Arabidopsis thaliana: one gene and its partner. The protein of the gene in region 1 interacts with the protein of each later gene in a pairwise test. Each region holds a gene or a part of one and is shown on either strand. Other genes may lie near its edges.

Evidence for each region. The genes of interacting proteins can lie anywhere in the genome.
Region 2: the proteins of AT5G45360 (region 1) and AT5G42190 interact in a two-hybrid assay, tested with the Arabidopsis thaliana proteins (2 studies listed by BioGRID).

What each region holds. Positions count from the first base shown.
Region 1 is NC_003076.8:18,383,402-18,390,764, reverse strand, and holds AT5G45360 (F-box family protein), read left to right. Parts: upstream 1-3,893; 5' UTR 3,894-4,094; coding exon 4,095-4,157; intron 4,158-4,474; coding exon 4,475-4,678; intron 4,679-4,760; coding exon 4,761-4,834; intron 4,835-4,947; coding exon 4,948-5,023; intron 5,024-5,173; coding exon 5,174-5,284; intron 5,285-5,368; coding exon 5,369-5,543; intron 5,544-5,626; coding exon 5,627-5,803; intron 5,804-5,911; coding exon 5,912-5,982; 3' UTR 5,983-6,276; downstream 6,277-7,363. Other genes in the region: UMAMIT1 (nodulin MtN21 /EamA-like transporter family protein), read right to left, coding at 483-639, 755-906, 1,080-1,521, 1,613-1,729, 1,816-1,878, 2,140-2,354.
Region 2 is NC_003076.8:16,854,142-16,859,622, reverse strand, and holds AT5G42190 (E3 ubiquitin ligase SCF complex subunit SKP1/ASK1 family protein), read left to right. Parts: upstream 1-3,881; 5' UTR 3,882-4,106; coding exon 4,107-4,448; intron 4,449-4,954; coding exon 4,955-5,128; 3' UTR 5,129-5,432; downstream 5,433-5,481.

The sequences.
Region 1 (7,363 bases):
GTCGCAAAGACATACCACTCTGTTGGAATTATGGAATAGACACTATCTTCACAAATTCAAGATAATATGTTGCTAAAACTTTTGTTGTCTTCTTCCCAGCTTATATCACACTGACATGTAAGTATGTAACATGTCCGTTGACATATATAATGTTTTCCTTTTTGTTAATCGTGCTTGTCTTTAGGTACAATGACTTTTTAAGTGTTCTTGATTCCTTTTATCTAAGATTGAATTTAAAATATACGCTTCTTTGTCACCCAACTAAAAAACGTATTGAAACAACCAATTCTTAAAATAAAAATAGAGATTTGTTTCCATAGTTGAACTTGCATTACCAAAAAAGAGGCGAAGTAATTATTTTGAATTATTTACCGTTTAAAGAATCAATGTTTGAACTCGAAAAAATTGTATGATTTGTCAAGTTTTTGTCTGATATTAACTACGTACAACGGTACAAGTATCCTTTCTTTACCTTTTCTTATTTATTTACCAGTCTCATCTCTGTAAATGAAAGGTTCCGAGATTCTTACATCACTAGAAGAAGCAATCTCATTCCCAGCTGATGTTGTTTGTTGCTCTCTGTAAGATGCCCAAGTAACCATATAAAGCCCGCAAATGATGAGGATTCCACCCAAAACGCTGCGGAGAGAACAAAAACCAAGGTGTTTATATGATCCAATACAAGAAGACAGAAAGGTTTGTATGTGTCTGGATGAATCAAAGATACAAAGAAGAGTGCATAAAATTTAAAAACCTTCCAAGATAGATCGGGCTGCCGAGGAAAATTGTCGATAAAAAGGCCGATGTTGCAGGCTGAAGAGGATTGTATAGGGAAACCAAAGCAGCTCCAAGAATTTTATTGGACCAAGTCAAGAGTCCATAGTTTAGAGCTGAGGCAAACACTCCCTGAGGAATAAAAACCGAAAAGAAAACAATTAAACACAAACTAGTAAGATGAATCCGTATGTACAGAATCGAGTTCCAATCTTTTTGAGTTCAAGTTCAAATGATTTGAGCTCAAGCTCCAAAACACAAACACACCCAAATAAACATATTACATCTCGGTTGTGAAAACTTACTGCGAATATAACAGCAAGAACCTCAGATTGTGTTAAGCTCCAATCTTTAGGCTCTCTAACAAACAAGATAGCTGTTGTGATCATTATTGATGCACCGAAGAAGTATGAATACGCAGCAACCGAAAGGTAGGCAGGATACTTCTTCAAAACCGGTGCTTGGACAGCGAGAAAAGCAGCCATACACATACAGTTTCCAATCAAACATAAAACTCCAATGTGCCATTGATCAAACCCAAGACCAAGAAAACTAGAGACTAACCACCCATTAAGCTCTGGTTGACTTCTATCAATAATTACACTTTTCACTGAATCTGCTGCATCTTTACCTCCAAACAAGGCTGGACCACGAAACAAAGCCATCGCTATAGCACCCGAAACACAAACAAGAGTACCTCCAACTTTCGTTTGGCCCTCGACTTTCAACAAGTTCACTTTTTCTGTACTGTATACAAAGAAGAAGACCATCAAAAGATTGAAACTTTATATTACAAATTTTCACATTTTACAGTAATGTTGAGGAAACTCATACTCACCCCATCAAGACAGCCAAGAGAAATGTAAAGACAGGGATTGATGGTTGTATAGCAGCAGCATAAGTTGGATTCGTGTAAGATAAACCCATAAGAAATAGTAACTGGTTCCCAAATATCCTATCAAGATTGAGATTGAATGTTGTTATTAGAATCTTTCATTAGCATGATTCAAAAGATAAAGAGATACAAGCTGATTACTTTACCCTGCTAAACCAAGAAAGAAGAGTGAAAAGAAGATGCTTCTATTCATAGGAGGTCTGATCGTTCTACAAGAAATTAAAAGAGCAAATCTTTATCAAAAGACAAATCCAAGTCACACAAAATTGCAATCCATCATTAAACAATAGAACCAGAATTAACAAAGAAAAACAACCCTAATTCCAATTCCAGAGAGATCAAACTATTTGTCTGATTTTGCCGCATATAAACTCATCAAAACAATCAGAAACAGAGACTTCAGAGACTTTAGCAATTCAAGCAAAAGGATAAAGAAACAGAGAGATTTTGAGAAGAAGATAAAAAGGGACCTTTCACGGAAAAAAGCGAGAGGTGCGAGAATGGAGAGAGCAAGAAGATCGCGAAAGACACAAAAAACGAGCTGATTTACACCAACGTTAAGAGCTACTTTCGTAACCACATGGTATCCTCCATTTATGACCTGAACCAATGTCATTGCAGAGTGAGCCATTCGTGTTTCTCTCTCCGTCGCATCGCCGCCGTTTAGGATCGCCGGAGCTGCCATTTTTCTTCTCTACCTCCGAATCGAGGAAGAAGAGAAGGAACACCTGTTGACTAAAGAAATTGAGATCCTTTGATTTGCTCTGTAAATTGTAATTCTAACTTCTCTGTTTTTTCGTTCCAAAAAAAAAAAAAACTTCTCTGGTCATTGTAGTCGTTGGTCTTCTTCAATTTGTTAACTATGATTTTTTGTTAAGTTGAGGCAAAAAAAAATTTGCCAGATTATTTTCTTAAATCTTATACACATTGAAGCCTAACAGATTAACACATTTGTTAAATATGCTCATATATCCTACTTAAAAAATATGAAAATTTTCCACAAAAAATGGTGTAATATAAAAATTCGGTTTACTCGGGTTAAACGGTTCGGTTTGTTCGGTTTTCCGGGTTTTTCGGTTTTCAAAAATTCTGCCGAATTGAACCGAACAAAAATTCGGTTCGGTTCGGTTCGGTACTCGGTTTTTTCGGTTCGGTTACTAGGATTTATAATTCGCCGAAATTAAACCGAATTTTTTTTAATCGGTTAACCTAATCAGTTTAGATCACAATATTAGGCATAGTGGGCTGTTTTTAAAGCCCATATCGGCTTTTGACATTTAAAAACCCAAAACTTTTTTTTTGAGGGACAAGTAAAGTCAAAAAGCCCATGACGGTTTTTAACTTTTCAAAACCCAAATTCTTTTTTTCCAGGGACAAGAAAAGCCCATCACACCCATCTAGGGTTTTGTTTTGTTTTATTTTTTGGAAATGACGGCCGTCAAAGAAAAACAAGGGTGAGATGAAGAAGAAGAACATTGAAAACAGAGAAAATAGATTTGTATTGTGCGGTGGTGAGAAAAGATGTAGAGAACCATGAAATCATTGCCAGAGAAGATCGATGTCGCGGTGGCTTAATAGAATATTTCTGCGAACCTAAAAGGTGGAGAAGAAGAACGAAGACAAGGAGAAGAAGGAGGAATAAGGAAGAATTAGAAGGTTAAAAGATAAAAATGGGTTAGAGATGAGGAGAAATAAAGGTGTTCGTGAAGAGGAGAGTTTAGAAAACAAAGAAGATGAAGTGATAGATCTAGGATTTTTCTGTTTTAAAAGGTATCTCCCCAATCCGAACAAAACCGATCGGTTTTGATGAACCGAACCGAAAAACCCGAAAACCGAAATCAATTTAAAATTCTACCGAACGATTTACAACAGAAAATCGGTTTGAAACCGAAAACCGAAATCGTCGGTTTGTTCGGTTCGGTTTAAACGGGTTATGCCGAACTTCCAGGCCTAATTTTTACAGTGTAATACTGAAGTTGGTAAAATATGCCTTTATTTATGTCGATTAGTGGATCTAGTAATATAACATTTCCTTAAATGAAAAAACTCCTTAAAAAGTAGTTGCTGATCCAATAACAAATGTTCTGTTTTAAGAAAATTTAATTATAGTAGTAGTTCGAACGTCGTTAACTCGTAATAATAATTCAGAAAAATGTTGTTATTTAATCACGTTTAGAAAGCTAATTTGTATTAATGACGCTAACGACAAGGAGGAGGGTTAGTGTTATGGGCTTATTTATTAATATATGGCCCATTTAGGTTATTAGCCCATTTATCAAAATTATTCGGCCCGAGGTCGTCTCCAATCTCACGCCACCGATTCCAAACGCCAACCCTCTCGAGTCTTGTCTCTCTCCAATCCTTTCCTTGGCCGCATAAACGCAACCATCGTCGTCGGAGCTTTGATCTTCACCGACTGAAAAGTATGTCTGTTTCCGATGAGGAAGATGAGTGTTTCGCTCGATTCCTCGAATCAGAAGTCTCATCGGTATAAAAATTTCTCCGTTTATTCAAATTTTCGATTTCATTTAGGGTTTAGTAATTTCTTCTCCATCAATCTTTGAATTTTGTAGCTGAATCTGAAATTCTGTCGAGATTTTCCCGTTCCCCTAGTTTTTTTTTTCATTTTTGATAACTTCAGTTCCTTGATCTGTAAATTTGATCTTATATGCATACATTTGAAATTTTTGAAAAATCACATAATTTTTGTTCATGTTCTTCGATTGATGTCCATTGTGATTTTGCTCTTGTTCAGCGTTGTCCTGTGAAAGGTTAGATTATTTATTGATGCTTTGGTTTTTGTAGGTAGAGGATAAAGAAGAAACGAAAGAACCTGAGGCAAAACGGCAACGTATTGAGAAAGGCGAAACAAAGGCTCTAGAGAAGGATGAAGATCAAAAGGAAAATGGTAACAAAGATAAAACTGATGCAAAGAGAATAGAGAGTGGAGTTTTCACCAATGTTCCTACTGAGCTGTTTCGTCATATTCTCAAGTTCTTATCTTCGGAGGTATATACTATATAGTTCAAACTCGAACTTTATTGATGTTTGAGGATTGCTTTTAAACTAAATTGTTTGAATGTCATTACAGGATCTTGTATCATGCTCCTTGGTTTGTAAATTTCTCAATTTTGCTGCGGCTGATGAATCCTTATGGCGTCGCCTGTAAGCCTCTTCTTGTACCCCTTATTGTCGTTGATAATCTTGTTTTCAAAATCAATACTTTGTATTCAAAAACGATGTGATGATCTTATTGGTTGTTTTTTGTTTATATGCAGGTACTGTATCCGGTGGGGTCTAACTCTTCCAAGTAGAAAGTTACGTGAATCTGCTTGGAAGAAGCTTTATATTGATGTGAGTTTCTCCTTGGTTTTTCGTATAAACTTGTTAGATGTTTCCAAGTAGTATTACATTGCTGAAGAATATACAGTGTTAGTTTGCGTTGCTAGTAGAAGTCAGATCATATATATTTTTAAGTGATTCCTTTCTCTTGTCGAATTTTAGCGTGATGAACAGGACATGATTGAACTTGTCAGAACCTGTCCGTCGGATTTCAAGGAGTATTACGTACATATGCAAGCAGCAAAGAGAAGCCAAGCACCTCTTCCGTCCCAGGTAACTATTTATAATTATCTGTTTATGTTTTAGGACAAATCATCACGTGAAGAATTTTCTCATGTTCTTGTTTGCAATTTTTAGATGGTGGATGACCGGATAATTCTTGACAATACTGTACTTGAACAAGTTTCTCTATGGAAGAAAAGCAAAGGACTTACTGATAAGGCTGTCACTGGCCATATTTGTTTGGGAACCAAATGTTCATACCATCAGATTGACGACGTGTTCATATGCAAAGAGACGGGAAATGTTCATGGTATGTAATGAAATGCTGTAAAATGTAACTTTGTTACTGTGTTTTACTCTAAACTTACATAGTTTTTATGGTCTTTATAACAGTATGCGATGATAACTGCAAGGAAGTAATACTGAGTCCAGAGGGTGACCTCATGGTGTGTACTATCTCAGGAGTTTGTTCTGATACTTTACTTGTACAAACTGAGCCAGACGCAGATGGGTGTTATGAGGAAGAAGCTGAACTAGAAGCTGAAGTATTCACAGATAAAAGCCGATTAGGTACACATCTATCTATCTCTTTCTCATATCTCTCACACACTTCCTTTTCCAAATATTATTTTTATTTTCCAACATAAGTGAACTATTTGCGTCTTCTTTTCATCGCAGCCCGAGCTTTTGAACTTGGCTACAACTGCGATGATGAGCAGGAACTGGAACGTACCCTGAGGTTCTGCTGAGCAAAAGTCTCGACCTTTTGTCCAATTTCATAAGGCCTACTTTCTGTAAGGTCTTCTCTCTCTCTCTCTCTCTGACCTGATTCTGCCTGGGTTCTGTGGAGTTGAAATGAATCAAATGTAGCTCTTGTTTTAATCAGTCAGCTTTGTAACGTATACATATATATCATTGTATGTGATTAACATTGTCCTTAAAAAGTGTTACACCTAGTAATTACGTTCCAACTTTATCAGTAAACCTATTGGTAACTAGTAATTTGCTCCCGATATTGGTTTTCTCATTAATTTTTATAGCCATTCTTTGTTCATTTAAACCATATTACAAATTTGTCCTGGTTAGAACTGATTATGATGACAAATCGATGATTAGTTCAAAATGAAGTTTATAGCAATATATTCTAATAACTATACATCAATTATCACCACTGATGTGTTTGAATGAAAAATGAATTGATAATCTTAATAAATGTTTGATTTTATAGATAAGTATAAAGTATGAATGGATTTAGAAAATTTTAGTATTTAGTGAGATAAGCATAAGCAAAACTAGAAAAATGAAATTATTATTAAATAAATTCATTAATACACATTGGCAATGTGACATTGCCTAAAATCAAATATGTACTAATTCAATTAATGTTAATAAGAATTTTTTGGATTCGATTCTCTTGCGAAAGTGCAAATTAAAAGACATTCTTATCTCCTACGTAAACAGAATCACGCGTCCATTGCGCGTTCTCGCAACGCTAAAATATTTACGTTGGAAAATATTCTCATAATTCTCTCCTTTGCCCCCACAGTTTAATATATTTCATAAACACCCCCACGAGAAATTAAAAACCGTTCCAAATTTGAAAAAATACAACAAACAATTCATGAAAATATTCAATCTATAAGCAAAACATTGGTAGTGTTACATGTGTCGTCCTTCGTGCTGAAAATTTGGATAGCATTGTTAATTATGACAACGTAAGTGTAGCCTGTGATTCATAGTAAAATATAAGGACTAAAAATAAAAATATATCTTTTTTGGAAATCGTACCGCGTAAGAAACATGTATAAATACCTATAAGGTCTTATTTTTTTCTCTTCCAATTTCGTTTCGACATATTTCGCGATTCGTCTAAGGTAAAAAAAAACTCATCTTTTTTTCTTTTAGATCGTTAATTTTTGATCAGCGATTCGCTCTTCTGATCTGTGTTCTTTAAGCTTGTCTTCTCTCTTGATTCGATCTGCTGAAAACCTAGAAATTTTTGATTTTTTTGTTTGTTTTGCTCCATGTGTATGGGTATATTTACGATTTTAACAAAACAAAAATATGAATTGAGGTTTTTTATTTAGCGAATTGGGTTTTAATTGTTCACATTCGTTTGGCTCTCTCGAG
Region 2 (5,481 bases), 1.5 Mb from region 1:
AATAAAAGATGTTTTACAAATTTCTATGCAACTTTTCAATGCATTTAATATTTTATTATCATTGGTTAAAAATTTTAAAACTAAATTTTACTCCCTAAATTTCTATGGAGTCAATGATAGTTAGAAAATAAAATCTTAAAATATGTATTTTTAACTAAAACATCCTATAATTAATATGAAACAAGAGTCTAACAATATTAAAGGTTTTAAGCGGACTTTTAGGAATCTGAAATAGAATATAATAAAGCTCACCATTATTTTCGAGAAGTAAAAGATGAGAGATTTGTTGATGATAAAAGTGGTGGTGATCAGTACAGTCGGATATACATTTTTAATGGTAATATAATTTTTGGTTTCAAAGTTAAAGAAGATTAAAGCTTTGTTTATGAAGCTGAGTATGCCGGATTCTGTTAACAATAGTGTTCATTTCGTTTTTGTTAACATCATTTGGTTTTTGTTTCGACTAATTTTTATATGAATTTATTTATTTTTTTCTTTTTTTGAATCTGTAATTGTAAATGGTATTAAGCCTAGTCCAAGCAAAATTTACCAGTTAAATAGACAGCGATATAGGTGTTGAGTTAATCAGGGCAAACTCTTGTACTTAAAGATGTACTTATATGTCTGACTAGTATGATGAGAGCCATACAATGTACATGATAGGTGGTGTCCTAGTGCATGTGACGTTATGTAAAACAAAACTAGGATTTTATAAAACCCACATTTTTTTATGGTGTTCAATCAATTCTTGTGGTTTCGTTATTTAATTACTTGAACGTCATAATGTCTTGGTAAAACACCCTTTTAATGTTTTCCTATCTGTCACGTGTTTGTTCATATTACGTACGTTGGATTCACACGAAACACATTTCTACACCAGTTTCATACAACCTTTATATGAAAATATGTTTTTACTTAGACTACTACTCAGAATCTTAATTAGTCCATACAGAAGAATACAAAGCAGAAAAAATATCATTAAGAACCTCAGAAAATAGAGCAACATAAAAGCTCTATAATACTACTATTGAAGCTCTTTCATTTTGGAAGAAAATAAATTAGCCAACAGAATATAGAACAACATGGCACAACACTTTTCTCGACATTTAAGTTCTGAAAAAGCAATGCTAATTATTAATTTAACCTGCTTAACTTTTTTCCAACAAAATTATAAATTCTGTTTCTTTTAATTATTAATGAAGAAATCATGAGCTATCGTATTATACAATGTTTGCGGTTGTATGGCCATTTGTGTTTTGGGCCGGTAAAATGGAATTTCAAAGCTAGGGTCGTTGATTTATTTGCTTTTCTGTGACCGGTGAAATGGAATTTCAAAATTTCTCTTTACCTTACTTTGAGACTAAAAGTATTTTCTTCTTCTATGCTTACAAAAAGTACTTTAGTTTGAGAGCTGTATAAAATAATAGCAATCATGTTCTAGGAATTAGAGGCGACGGAGAAGTCCAATCCACTAAAAAGTTAAAGAAGATAGCACTTGAAGATAATGCGTTAAAGTAGTTATTTATTTTCTAACAAATAAATTTCAATTAAATAGGCGCTATATTTACTAGACTGGTTTACATTAATTTACATTAATATAAAGAACAATATTAATTTACATTATGTATTTTTTATATTATTTACATTAATTTATTACTAAAATGTTTTTATTTTCGTTTCTAGAATCTTTTCTACATTCAAAATATACAACAGAAATTAAATTAAAAAGTATAATTACAGAAGCATCAATGCATAAAATCTCTAGAGCTGATTATGTATAAAATAATCGACGGTACTAAAAAATTGCAACAACTGATTTTTTCGAGAAAAAAAATTGACTGCTATAAAATTGACCATGTATTCAGTTATTCAGACCTGGTCTTGTCTTGACTCCTTCAGCATAGCTGAGAAAATCCATGTTTACGGTCTAGTGAACAATATTTGGGTTCACTTATTAGGTAAATCTTTTTATTTATTTCCTCTTATCTTAAGTTTTTAACCAATCTGAATTCGTTATTTAATAAAAGAAATTTAAACTCATTTAATTATAAAATTTAAATCATAATCATTTTTTTATAAACTCAAACTCATATATAATTTAGTCTAATTATAAAATCTAAATCCTAATTTTTTTATTTCAGCCAATCAGAATATACTACCTAATAAAAAGTTAAAAAAACTTATTTAATTATAAATAAAAAATCTAAATTCTAAATAAAAAGTAAAAAAAAATTAAATTCTAACCACTTTTTAAAAAATTCAAACCAAAATGTAATCTCGTTTAATTATAAAATCTAACCCTAGTTCTTCTTTGTACACCCAATTCGATATTTAAACTCTTTTAATTGCAAACTCTAAATCTCTAACCGTTCTTTCTAAACCCAAACCGATATTTAACATTGTTTAATTATAAAATCTAAATCCATTTATAAAACCAAACAGACGTTCAATCTCGTTTAGTTATAAAATCTAAAACTGTTTATAACTCAAATCGATATTTAATAGTAAAATCTAAACTTCAATCCTTTCTTATAAACCCAAAACTATATAAAATTTTGTTCTTGTGGCAAATTAGATTTTATAATAAAATAAATTTAATTTATTTATTAGGTATAAATTCTAATTTAATGGAATAAAAAGGTGAATAAAGGGGTGAATCTAAATATATTTTTTATTGGCCCATATTTTTTACTAGGATAATGGCCGATTATGCTTTGGTGAAAATTTAGATAACGCAAGTTAGATTTTTCTCACTTTATTTAATAAGATAAGATTTTAGCGGGGATGAAATTTTTACAAGCGAATCCCTCAATATTTCACTTATGTTCGTGGATGATAGCTTCTTTTTTGTAAAACGACAAAAAAAACAATGCGTCATTGGATTTGGAATACTAAAGAACTATGAAGAGGTTTTTGGTCATGAGTTGACAACTCGATGATGGACAAACTTATGGCAATCTTCGAAATCACTAATATAGGGGACATGAACAACTACTTGAGATTATCGAAAAGTTTAGGAGGATCTAAGACAAAAAAAATTTACTCTTTTAGAAAATATTTACATAATAGAATAAATGGTTGGTTTACAAAATTCTTATCTAAAGATGGCAAAGAAGTATTGATTAAATCAGTACCAGATGCATTGCTTACTTATGTATTGTCTTGTTTTAGATTACCAAAATCAGTAACATCAAAACTTAGGAATGTAGTAACGAAATTTTGGTAGAGTTCCAATGGACGAACAAAACGTTTACAGTGGAAGGCATGAGATAAATTTTGTCATAGTGCCTCTCTGCTCTCCCTCTCCTCCTCCGGGTGCCTCTCTGCTTGCTACTTGGTTCCGTCTCTTCAGTTAGGTCCTCCTCTGCGGTTCAGGTTTCCTTATGAGTTTTTTGAGTCCTTGGGTCGTTCCCTCTTCGTTCTTTTGGTTTTTGGGCCTGCTATTTTTAAGTTTCAGCTTCTTTGGTTGTTTTGGGCTTTGCTCTTGTTGTCGGGCCTGCGCGCCTTGGATTTGAGCTTTTGGATGTGTATGTTTTCGAGCCTGTGTGCTTATGTTTGGACACTTGTCTTATAACTTGTTGTTTGTTTTAATGGAAATTTAAAATTAAAAAAAAATAAGAAAAATAAAATAAAAAATAAATAAGTTTTGTCGTAACGGTGGACTTGGTTTCTAGAATGTGGATGATTTTAATACAACTTAATTAGCAAAACAACTGCCGCAATTGATTATGATTCTTAACTCTTTATTTGCAAAGATGTTCAAAGAAAAATATTACCGGAAATCAAATCACATGAATCCAATTAAATTATACACACCATCCTACAAATAGAGGAGTTTAGTATCTGTTCAACTACTGATTAATCAAAAGTTGATGAAAAGAGTTGAATTAATTTTCAGGTGTTTTCCTTTGAAAGAAAAAAACAGAGAAAATGTTTTAAAATGAAAATTTATAGGTAAAAAAAGTCAATTGGGAATCGTTAGATCTCACTGGTTCAATGTGTGAGCCGGGCTTTAAAAACATTTTGATTTAACCCATACACACATCTCTCTGTTCCACGATTCTCTTCCTCAGCCTCCACGTCGTCTCTAAACTCAGCAAAAACCAATGTCGACGGTGAGAAAAATCACTCTTAAGAGTTCGGATGGCGAAAACTTCGAAATTGACGAAGCGGTGGCGCTAGAGTCACAAACCATCAAACATATGATTGAAGATGACTGTACCGATAATGGTATCCCTCTCCCTAATGTCACAAGCAAGATCCTTTCGAAGGTGATTGAGTACTGTAAGAGACATGTCGAAGCTGCTGAGAAATCCGAAACCACGGCCGATGCTGCTGCTGCTACTACTACCACCACCGTCGCGTCGGGTTCTAGTGATGAAGATCTCAAGACTTGGGATTCTGAGTTTATCAAAGTTGATCAGGGCACTCTCTTCGATCTTATCCTGGTTTGTCAAACTTATTTTTAATTGCTTTGGTTTTCAAAGTTTGCGATTTCATTTCTAGGGTTTGAGATCTTGATTTCTGTTTGAGATCTAATTTTAGGGTTCAGGTTTTGTTTAGATTGCCAATTTCACAGTTTAAACTATGATCATGTCTGATTGAAATATATGGTCTGATAGAGAAAAAAGTGTCAAGAGATTTCTTTTGAGTTTGTTGGATTTGTTTATAGCTGAAGACCACTTTACATCCAAACTCATGTTTTTTATGTTCTGTCTTAAACATTGGATAATGTTTAATTTCTTTGGGATTTGCTTGAATCTAGATTTGTTTTTCTGAGAAACCTTTTGGATGCTAACATGACATGTTTTGTTCTGTCTGAAACGAGTGATAAAGTTTATTTTCTTTGGAATCGTAGTTCAATATGTTTGATTTGCTTGAACAATAAAGTTCCATTTTTATCTGAAAGTTGAAGAGCTTGAATCTAAGTTGGTTTCCCTGTGACACCTTTTAGGCTGCTAACTACTTGAATATCAAGGGACTGTTGGACTTGACTTGCCAGACAGTGGCTGATATGATTAAAGGAAAAACCCCAGAAGAAATCCGTAAGACGTTCAATATCAAGAACGACTTCACGCCAGAGGAAGAAGAAGAGGTTCGCCGTGAGAATCAGTGGGCGTTTGAATGAAGAAAAATGAAGACCTAGGTTGCTGTCATGTCCTCGACCCATTTGTGTCTCCCTGTCTTATCTTCTTTCTTTGACTATATATCCATTCTCTTCTACGTGATGGTCCAGCTAAGACAGTGGGTCGGATGTTAATGTTATGTTATGTATGTCAAATTAAAGACTTAACTACGAAACATATTGAAGTTGTTGCTCAAAAGAGAGTGTTGGTCTTCTATTGTTTCGTCAATCATTTAGATAGGTTGTGAACACAAGTGATAAGATTTGTCTGCATGTTCTTAGAAAGAGAAAAGATCTTATTACTTGTAAATAAATGCCTATACAAGCACACACGAGAGATTGATAGATAATTCTGA